Linked DNA regions of Macaca mulatta. The protein of the gene in region 1 interacts with the protein of each later gene in a pairwise test. Links are inferred from orthologs where the notes say so. Each region holds a gene or a part of one and is shown in the gene's direction. Other genes may lie near its edges.

Region 1 (5,496 bases):
ACCTGCAAAGATTAATTTTTATAAAGATTATGATTTTTTTTTTTTTTTTTTTGGGACGGAGTCTTGCTGTCGCTCAGGCTGGTGTGCAGTGGTGGGATCTGGGCTCACTGCAAGCTCCGCCTCCTGCGTTCACGTCATTCTCCTGCCTCAGCCTCCCGAGTAGCTGGGACTACAGGCGCTGCCACCACCCCCGGCTAATCTTTTTGTATTTTTAGTAAGAGATGGGGTTTCACCGTGTTAGCCAGGATGGTCTCGATCTCCTGACCTCGTGATCTGCCTGCCTCGGCCTCCCAAATCTGGGATTAAGATTATGTTTCTTACCAGTCCTTTCCATGAAATCTAACAGCAAATAGTTTACAAATGTGGATGTGTACTGAGAGGAAATGAAAAGTGAATAACGAGCTGAGTTAAAACATCTTAGAATATGGCTGAATACTATCATTTATCGTCAGTTGTCCTAGAATAACTTAAATTCTTCTAGCTTATTGTTGTTTTTTCGATAGTTGATTATAGTTGTGAGGCGGGATACACACACCCCCACACTATAACAAAGATTTTCTGAGACTGACAGTTAAAAAATACAGTGTTGGCCGAGCACTGTGGCTCATGCCTATAGTCCCAGAATTTTGGGAGGCTGAGGTGGGAGGATCACTTGAGGCCAGGAGCTTGACATAGCAAGACTCCATCTCCAAGTTTAAAAACAAAAATAAATTAAAAAAAGATACACTGCTATGTATGACTGTTGATATAAAAAATCTGAATACTAGACATGGCGACTCATATGCTACTTCAAGGGCTTATCAACAAAGTTGCTAGTCGTAACACTGTGAATTGTTAATGATACTGTTTTGGCTTTGCTAGCAAGTGTTGTAAAGCTACATATACACATACATACACACACCCCTTTTAAAATAAAATGGTGATCCTGGTACTAAATATGATTTTAAATGGATTTAATTTTAATTTTAATGGCTTGAACTAGGTTCAGCTGTCATAGGGATCAAAATTAGCCTCTATCCCAGCTGGGGTCAACCAGGGAGCCACTTTTCTTAACCGACAACCTACTGCACGTCAACAACTGCAGGAGACGGGACTTTACCTTCGTCTCCGGTAAACTAGTTGACACATCCCGTGTTGGCAAGAGGCCTAAGCAGATGACCTTGGTCCTCTAAAATCTGGCCTGCACTCTCGGGGCACCCCTGCAACACCTATAAAGACAGCTCCAGATAGAAAAGGGTTGGGGTGGAAAAGTTAATAACGCCAGGCACCTGCCCCGCCTCGGGGCTGGGGGCTATTCCTGCGGTTTCAGCTGACTTTCGGAGCCATTCGTCTCCCTACACAGTCGGAGGCATTCCTCGGCTGGGTACACCAAGGGGCTCTGCAACCCTCCTGGGGGGTGCCCAGAGGGCTTCCGGATGTACCAGGTTTATTCTTTCGGGTCACAGACAGCACAAACTAAAAGGAGGGATTATCCTTTCTGTCCAGTCGCAAGATGGCGACCGACCCTGGTGGGACTCCGAGGGGCCGCGGGCCACCTCCTCTTCCCAACGACCCGTGCGCCGGCGGCGACGGCAAGCGGGGGGGAGGCGGAGCCGGCGAGGGAAGGAGGGGCGGAGCGCGGCGCCCTCCCGCGCGTCTTGGCCCCGCCCCACGTCCCCGCGTCCCGGCCTGGAGCCCTCGCCCGGCCGGGCGGCGCGCGCTGCCTGCCGGGATACTCGGCCCGCCCAGCCAGTCCTCCCGTCTTGCGCCGCGGCCGCGAGATCCGTGTTTCTCCCAAGATGGTGGCGCTGGGCTCGGGGTGACTACAGGAGACGACAGGGCCTTTTCCCTTCGCCAGGACCCGACACACCAGGCTTCGCTCGCTCGCGCACCCCTCCGCCGCGTAGCCATCCGCCAGCCCGGGCGCCCGCCATCCGCCGCCTACTTACGCTTCACCTCTGCCGACCCGGCGCGCTCGGCTGCGGGCGGCGGCGCCTCCTTCGGCTCCTCCTCGGAATAGCTCGCGGCCTGTAGCCCCTGGCAGGAGGGCCCCGCAGCCCCCGGTGTGGACAGGCAGCGGCGGCTGGCGACGAACGCCGGAATTTCGGCGGCTCCGGCGCCCCCTTTCCCGGCCTCGTTTTCCGGATAAGGAAGCGCGGGTCCCGCATGAGCCCCGGCGGTGGCGGCAGCGAAAGGGAACGAGGCGGTGGCGGGCGGAGGCGGCGGGCGAGGGCGACGACGACCAGTGAGGCGGCCGCCGCAGCCCAGGCGCGGGGGCGACGACAGGTCAGTGTTGCCGCGGCCTGCGTCAGGCGGCGCTGGCTCCCCTCCGTCACTCGGCCGGCCTTCGGGGCCCGCGGTGGCGAGGTCGGCGCCCCGCTTCCCCGCCCCCCGCCGCCGAGGCGAGTGTTTGGGGGCGCGTGGTCCGGAGGGGCTGGTGCCAGAAGTAGGCCCCTGGTGGCCGCGGCTGCTGCAGTCTTAACTGTCAGTCCTGGCTGAGCGCCGGCGGGAGGGTTTTGTCGCCCGAGGGGACGCGAGCGGGCCCGGGGCGGGGCTGGACGTGCGAGGCGTCGAGATTTGGGCCTCCTCGGAGAGAGGCTTGTCGAGCCAGCCGGGGCCCCGGACTGGGAAGGGCAGGCCCTTTCCTTCCAAGGGGAGCTCTTTCTCGGCGTTTTCGAGGTTTCTGGCTCTCTTGGGGAAGACATATTTAGCCGTGTGCTTGGTGGGTTGGGGTTTTGGGGGTGGATTGATGGGAAGGGAGGGCGGAGGAAGTGGTATGTCAAGCCCAAGGGTTGTGCGCACAGATTACTCATGTGTTGCCGTCCACCAGGATTTCTGAAGTTGAACGTGAGTTACTGGCTTTGCCAGAGACTGCTGTGTTATATGCAGACCTGCATGCAAGCAGTTGGCCTTTTTTTTTTTCCCCCTTTTCACTGGAGAAAATGAAAAGGATGCTTTCCTCATCTTAGTGATAAAGGCTTTTGTTGGTAAAGGTGGAATTGAATGTACCAAATGCCTTAGTCCGTGAAATTTTAAAAATAATTTTAATACAGTGGTGAAGCTTGGCAACCTTGAAAGAGAATTTAGCGTCTAAATTTTTTTAATGACTTTTTATGGATGTGCTAAATTAGTAACAGTACAAAATCTGTTTGAGATTATTAAGAGGCTAGGGTGCTGCTGAAAATATAAAGTAATAGCATATGGGGTTTGCAGTGCATAGTTAACCTCAATCATGAAGGAATATGGATATGACGCGTAATTTTGGATCATTTCACTGCCTGCAATATTGAGAGAAGCAGCAAATTACAGAGTTTTTTGGGAGACGACTTAAAGTTTAAGAAATACAACTGTCGGAAGTTACCTGTCAGAGACACAAAGGTACCCAGTCAATCTTGTGGAATACATTGGACAAGTGGGGTAAGTGTTTGTCTCACACTGCTGACCAATAAGTACTCTTAAGAGGTGATTGGGTAAATCATGTGAAATTTAGAATTTAGGAGAGAGAAGAAAGTTTTATCTTGGTATGTATAGTGGAAATAGCTTTGAAATTAGATCCTGTTTTTAAATCTAAGCTACTTACCACATTTTTAGTGAAATGAATACAATATTAATGATGTGGCTGATAAACCCTAAGGATGACCAGAAACCCTTTTAAGAAACGCTAATAGTCTTGACCAAAAATGAAATAGCTTCAAGAAATAATTTGCAATGTTTGTGTATTTATAATATACACAGGAGAAATACAAGAACAGAATATGAAGAGGTAACTCATAATCTTTACAAAATTAGAATGTAAACTATGCAAGTCTTACTGTGTCAATATTTATTAACCTGCATTAGTTTGCTAAGTAGTATGCTCACCATCCTCTGGACATTGCCCCTGTCCCTGAGGAGCTTAACTTTATACAGAGATACAAAATACTGTGTTTTGATTTCCTTTCAGAGGATTTATAAGCTACTTGTGTTTTATCTGTCCTAAATTCTGCCCTTTTTTTTTCATGGCTGAAAAAATAACTTCCTAAGAAAGGCACGTACTAGTCAGAGGTGTGGGGAAAAAGTGTTCTCATCCCACTTGTCCAGTCCATTTAACAGTATTTATTGGGTACCTACAGTGTCTTTGACATGTGACATCTAATCAGTTGTATTTCTTAAACTTCATATCATTTCTATTTCAATCACCTCCTACTCCCCTCCAAAAAAATTTGCTGTGTAAACTGTGATAATACACTGTTTCTCTCAGTGTCAGTCAGTGGAATGATCCAGATGTATAGGTCATAGCAAAGTTTTTCATCCCAAGCTCTTAAAATGATGTTTCCAAATGTCCATTTTCTTAAATGACTGCTAATGTTCTCCAATCGTGTTACACATATTTTGTTTAGACCTATAATTGTATAGGTCTAAATGTAGAAACATTACATTATGTACTTATGCAGCTGCTGAAAGAAAATTAGTTTTCTAATTTTTAGATCGGGGTGAAGACAAACTTTTAGAAGTGATCTTTCAGTAAAATACTGGATGAAGTCTTAGGTGCTCTTTTTATGCTGGTTCAGGACAAAAGTTTTTTTGACTGGTTTTGAGTTTTCCCCTCACTGCCAAATGTAAGGATAAAATGTAGTAACAAGACAAATTGGTATGTATAGTGGTAATGTCTTTGGAATTAGACCCTACTTTTAATTCTGACCTTATTAATCTTGGTAAGCCACAGTTTTGTCACCTGTAAAATGGGTTGGTGAAACTTCCCCAGAGTTGTGAGGCTTAAAGTATGTAAAACGCCTAACACGCAGGCACTCAATAAGTATTACCTTAGAAATCTTCCTATCCAGTTTTTCTGAATGGTCTGGAAGCACTTTGTATATAATGGACTACAGCATGTTATCCTTTATATTGTTTATTTCTTTTCTCATTAGCTATGAACTCTTTAAGGCCAGGAATTCCTAGTGTTTACCAGAGAATGCGTTACTAGATGTCTTAGTCTGTTCTGGCTACTATTACAAAACACCACAGACAGGGTGGCGTATAAACAACGGAAGTTTTATTTCTCACGGTTCTGGGGGCTGAGAAGCCCAACCAAGATCAAGGTACCGACAAATTTGACATCTTAGTGAGGGCCCTCTTCCCTTGTTCATAGACAGCTAGCTGTCTTTTCACTATAACTTCATGTAGTAGAAGAGTAGAGGGGGCTCTATAGGGCCTCTTTTATAGAGGCATTAATTCCATTAATGAGGGCAAAGCCTCCCAAAGGCCCCAGCTGTTAATACTGTCACCTTGGCGGTTAGGCTTTCAACATGAATTTTGGGGGACACATTCAGACCACAGCACTAGAGCAGTCATGAATTAGTTATTGGTAAATCAGTAAATGATCAACTAACATTGATTAGGTTCCTCCTGTGGCTTCTATGAGCTGAGCTAGGTACTGACGCCACAAAGACAAGAAAGCTGTCTGTCTTTTTGAATGCTTATAATTGAGTGACTTTCTCACATTCATGTGTGTGTGCATGTGTGTGTGTGTGTGTGTGT
Region 2 (5,383 bases), on another chromosome or scaffold:
CTGGGACTACAGGTGCATTCCACCATGCCTGGCTAGTTTTTGTATTTTTTTGTACAGACGGGGTTTCGCTATGTTGCCCAAGCTGGTCTTGAACTCCTTAGCTCAAGCGATCCATCCGCCTTGGCCTCCTAAAGGGCTGGGATTACCAAAGGTGTGAGCCACCACACCCAGCCCCAAAATATTCTTTAAACATGTAATCATATAAAATTATTATGAGATATTTAATACTCTTTTTTTATACTAAGTCTTCGAAACCTGATGTGTATTTTACAACAACACATGATTTTTTTTTTTTTTGAAACAGAGTCTCGCTCTGTTGCCCAGGCTGGGGTGCAGTGGCATGATCTCGGCTCACTGCAAGCTCCGCCTCCCGGGTTCACGCCATTCTCCTGCCTCAGCCTCCCGAGTAGCTGGGACTACAGGCGCCCGCCACCATGCCCGGCTAATTTTTTGTATTTTTAGCAGAGACGGGGTTTCACCGTGTTAGCCAGGATGGTCTCTATCTCCTGACCTCGTGATTCACCCGCCTCGGCCTCCCAAAGTGCTGGGATTAGAGGCGTAAGCCACTGCGCCCAGCCACAACAACACATCTTAATTCAGACCAGCCACATTTCAAGTATTCGACAGCCACTTATGACTAGTAGCTACGATATTAGACAGTGCAACTATAGACCACTTTTAGTCTCTATTTTTTTAGCAACTCCCAAACCAGCTATATATGTATTGTAATAAACATAGAAAACATTTGGAAGGATACACAAGAAATGACTAGAAATGCTTTTTTATATGAAATGGGAATGCAGGGAGGGAAGGTGATCAAGGTTTAATTCATGTATATCTCTATTTGAATTTATTATATAAGGATATATCATATTTACTAAAAACATAAAAGAGAAAATGCTTATTCTTTTCAACAAAGTCCATGTATAGAAATCTGTCTTAAGGAAATAATAAAATATGTAAACTAACATTTATGACAAGGATGCTGTTGGCCCAAGATGTGAATAATTTTTTCTAGTGTATCCATGCTATAGACGGTACCGGCCATTACTGTATAAGAAAAACATAGCGTACCTAGGGTTCAGTACTACCCATGGTTTCAGACATCCATAATTTCAGGCATGCACTGGAGGTCTTGGAGTGAGCTCCCTGTGGATAAGGGGGGACTACTATATTCAACCCCACTGGAGGCGTGACTCCCTGAAAAGTGGATGGAGAAGAACAAACTGATGTGAAAAATCTTTGTCTTCCAACAAATATACAGATAGGATCTGAACCTGGGGAGACCACTGAGCCTTCTCCTAACCCTTCAGTGGGTGGTCTTTTCCATCTGCTCACAGGAATGTTGAGATTTTGGCTGTGGACCTTGTGTTTTGCTTAGCAAATTTGTTTTGTGTAGATCGCACCTGACATTTTAAATTCTTCCAATAACCATAGGAGGTAAGTGAAGAATTCACGCGCAGTGCAAGGATAAAACTGCACAGGTTTCCGCTGCCTTGGAAACCCTGTGCTTTTCAGATATTCATTGAATGGAACTTAAGTGCCCAATTTGTTCTGATTGGAGCAAAACTTTGTGGATTGACAAGGAGGGGTGTCCAAGATGTAGGAAGTGAAAAAAAAATGTTGCCAAACAAGGTGTAGAGCAGGATCCTATCTGTGTTTTGAAATCTATAAAATTATGTATCTATGCACCTATATCTAATGTATCTATCTCTGAATGGAGAGAAAGAGCCTGACCATTACCACCCTCTACTCCTGGGAGTGAGAATGAAGTGTACAGGGAGCAGGTGCAAGGAAGAATGCTTACTTCTTACTTTATATATTTCTGTACTGTTAAAATTTTAACAGGCTGTTTTTTAACAATAAAAAAAATTTAATAAAAGCTATCAGCTGTAATAAGAACTACCTTCTGACAGTAGATATTCTGAAATCATCTCACCAAGTACCCAGAAAGAGTTAACACAGGAGAATTCCAGATGTTTGAAGTGAGGACAAATTCCTGCTTTGAGGGTGAGAGGTGGGCTTAGGGATAAGAGGCAATGAGGAGGGGAGAGGAGGAAAGAAGCTGAGGGGAGGGCTGGCTGCTGAGCTCTCATTCCCAACCAATGGCATGAAAGTTTCAGGCTCAACGCCCGTTTGTGGAGACTATTTCAGGAGTCAGGATTTGCATCTGAGTTCATTGCCACTGTAACCTGTCAAAGAAGAGCTAAGGGAGCTTTCAGGGTTTGCTTCTTGGAGGCTGCTTTCTCCTTTACTTGGAAGGTAAAAATCTCAAGCCCAAGCTGATCAGGCAGTGGTGACTGATTGGGCTGTTCACTTTTTTCTTTTTGGTGTATTGATTTCTTTTTCCAACTAGGGCTGTAGGATCCTTATGGGATAAGGTTTTACTTTTACTAACAATGATATTTACATGGAACTTCTAACAAGATGGAGTGGTTCTTCCTGGTTCTCTGTAGATAACAAGAAGCATTAGGTAGATTTTCTTGGATAGGCTCGCATGGAAAGGAGGGAGCACCTATTCTTTGATTGATGAACAATTTTCATGTTATTCCTTCTTGGTTTCTCATAGAGCATGGCTAAGCTTTGACAGGAATTACAGATGCATGTAGCAAATCCTACTTAAGTATGATGGGTTCTTGCTTTATTTTCCATCTCAGTAAAAAGTCTTAAAACTCCCCTCATTCATAGTAAAGCTACTTTATGAGAGAAAGTAGAAAAAAAAAAAAAGAGAGAGTTTGGAAAGACACTTTTAGTGAAGTCACCCCAATGTTTAGGTCCAAATGTAGCTCCTCTCTCTCCCAGTGCTATGTTTTCAACATCACAGGGACCTTCTTTCCCCTCGCAGGCTTCGCTAGTGATGGACCCATACGTGATTCAGATGAGCAGCAAAGGCAACCTCCCCTCAATTCTGGATGTGCATGTCAACGTTGGTGGGAGAAGCTCTGTGCCGGGAAAAATGAAAGGCAGGAATACCAGGTGGTCCGTGAGGCCCTCAGACATGGCCAACAAAACTTTCAACCCCATCCGAGCCATTGTGGACAACATGAAGGTGAAACCAAATCCAAACAAAACCATGATTTCTCTGTCCATTGGTGAGTTGGGGGACACTAATGAGGGGCTGTCATTGTCCCCCTCTACTCTCATGTTAACAGGCTGGTTGGAGAGGATGGGAGTTGGGGGTGAGTCTAAGTACTGAACATGGGAGAATAACCTCTTGGCTCCTTTTGTTTTTTCCTCCCATAAAAAGGGGACCCTACTGTGTTTGGAAACCTGCCTACAGACCCTGAAGTTACCCAGGCAATGAAAGATGCCCTGGACTCGGGCAAATATAATGGCTATGCCCCATCCATCGGTAAGCCCCTCCTGACACTCCATACCTGGTGGCTGCCAAATCTTTAGTGCTATAATAACGGGACCAAATGTCTAGTAATTCTCTTCACTTTCCTGATGCATAATTCCTAAGGAGAGGCTAAGATTACATGGCCCTTTGGATTTGGGAAAGGGGTCTTGGAATGCTTAAATACAAGGCATCAAGGTCCAACTTCTTTCCTGGCTTTCTTTAGCATATGGGCACTTCCCCTCTAGGCTCCCAAACATACTTATTTGTCAAGTAAAGTGCCTGTCCTATCATTACTAATTCTAATTTGAAGGCCTTGAGTCTGGCAGGAGCTTCGTGTTTGCTGAGCTTCTAGGTCCTAAATGGATTTACTTATTGCCCTATGTACATAGCTCCTTTGCTTCATTTCTGCTTCTCTGTGTATTGAAAGCCTATTTTCATTATGGTCCTGAGCACACTGAAATGCAATTGTTACTATTTAAGACTAAAGAGGTTAAACAAACAAATAAACAAACACCCAAGAACAACAAAAAATGGGCTCTCAAACTGAAGGATAGAAGGTTGTTTCTGATAGATTGAAATTACTCCTTTTTAGGTTTACTTCTCTCCATCTATTAAAAATTTCTACCCTGAATATTTTGGTAAAGTACATGCTTCCTTGACTTTCAATGTTGAACATTTTTTTTCCTTATGTGTACATAGAAACACATTCTTAATGCAGAATAAAACTCCAGTTTCATGATAAAATCAAATTTTAAAAACACTTTAAAGAGTTATATCGGGGACTTCGTGGTTTTTCGGTTGATTACTTACATTATATAAAGTTTCATACAATAAGAATAAAAACAAAATCAAGACCAAAAGTTAAGTTGTAAGAAAAGTTTCTAATGACTTTAATATTCAAAGTATTAGGAAACTGGTTTAACCTGAAAAACCAAAACCAAATCTCCATTTGACAAATGTTCAAAGGTTCTGAATATTTCATTTCAAAGGAGATACAGGTGTTAATATATATCTAAAAACGTGTTCTTCCTCATTAGTAATTAAGGAAGTGCTGATTTGTATAATTTTGAGAGATCCATCTGTACCTATTAAATTAGTAAACATTATGAAATAGTGCCTCTAGCCTTGCTAACTTGTCTTTTTGAATATAAATTTTGCAAAATATTAGGATGGGCATGAAACTGCTGATACTTCAAGCTTGTGAGCCAACATTTGGAAATATTGTACAAAAATAATTTGAAATAAAAATTTGTACAAAATACTGATAGGAATATTACATAACATAAAAAACTTAAAATGGACCACATGAATTGAATGCATTGATTACAACTTCTTTTTTTTTTTTTTTTTTTTGCTCTTGTTGCCCAGGCGGAGTGCAGTAGCGCGATCTCGGCTCACTGCAGCCTCCGCCTCCTGGGTTCAAGCGATTCTCCTGCCTCAGCCTCCTGAATAGCTCGGATTACAGGCACGCACCACTATGCCCAGCTAATTTTTGTAATTTTAGTAGAGATGGGGTTTCTCCATGTTGGTCAGACTGGTCTCAATCTCCTGGCCTCAGGTGATCCACCCACCTCGGCCCCCCAAAGTGCTGGGATTACAGGCATGAACCACCGCACCCAGTGATTACAACTTCTTAAAAAATACAGTCTGTAAAAAAGATTTAGGAATAATAGAAATCCTTATTTTACACAGAAAAAAACATAATCACAGAAATAAGATGGTGCAGAGTATTTGGGGAGCTCTTCCTTGTTATCATTTATAAATTTGTGCTTATACTAAAATTGTGAAACATAAAATGTGAAGTGAATCTCCTTTATCCACAGTGGCTGAGAGCTGAACTAAATAGAATGCCCTATGAGCAGGGGCAGAGGCAGCCTGAAGCCCATGCTGGACCTCCAGGGCATGGCTGTCAGTTCAGGGATGAAAGCTTCATCTTCTGGCCAGGCACAGTGGCTCACCCCTGTAATCGCAGCACTTTCAGGAGGCTGAGGTGGGAGAAGCCCCTGAGCCCAGGAGTTTGAAATCAGCCTGGGCAACAGAGGG

The links.
Region 2: the proteins of UBE3A (region 1) and TAT interact in binary tests that used the Homo sapiens proteins (3 or more experiments, as listed by UniProt). The link is inferred for Macaca mulatta from reciprocal best matches to the Homo sapiens genes UBE3A and TAT.

Annotation. Positions count from the first base shown.
Region 1 is NC_133412.1:4,509,994-4,515,489, forward strand, and holds the start of UBE3A (ubiquitin-protein ligase E3A), read left to right. Parts: upstream 1-2,192; 5' UTR 2,193-2,265; intron 2,266-5,496. UniProt on the Homo sapiens protein: E3 ubiquitin-protein ligase which accepts ubiquitin from an E2 ubiquitin-conjugating enzyme in the form of a thioester and transfers it to its substrates.
Region 2 is NC_133425.1:68,298,134-68,303,516, forward strand, and holds the start of TAT (tyrosine aminotransferase), read left to right. Parts: upstream 1-2,104; 5' UTR 2,105-2,262; intron 2,263-2,845; 5' UTR 2,846-2,857; coding exon 2,858-3,092; intron 3,093-3,247; coding exon 3,248-3,352; intron 3,353-5,383. UniProt on the Homo sapiens protein: Transaminase involved in tyrosine breakdown. Converts tyrosine to p-hydroxyphenylpyruvate. Can catalyze the reverse reaction, using glutamic acid, with 2-oxoglutarate as cosubstrate (in vitro).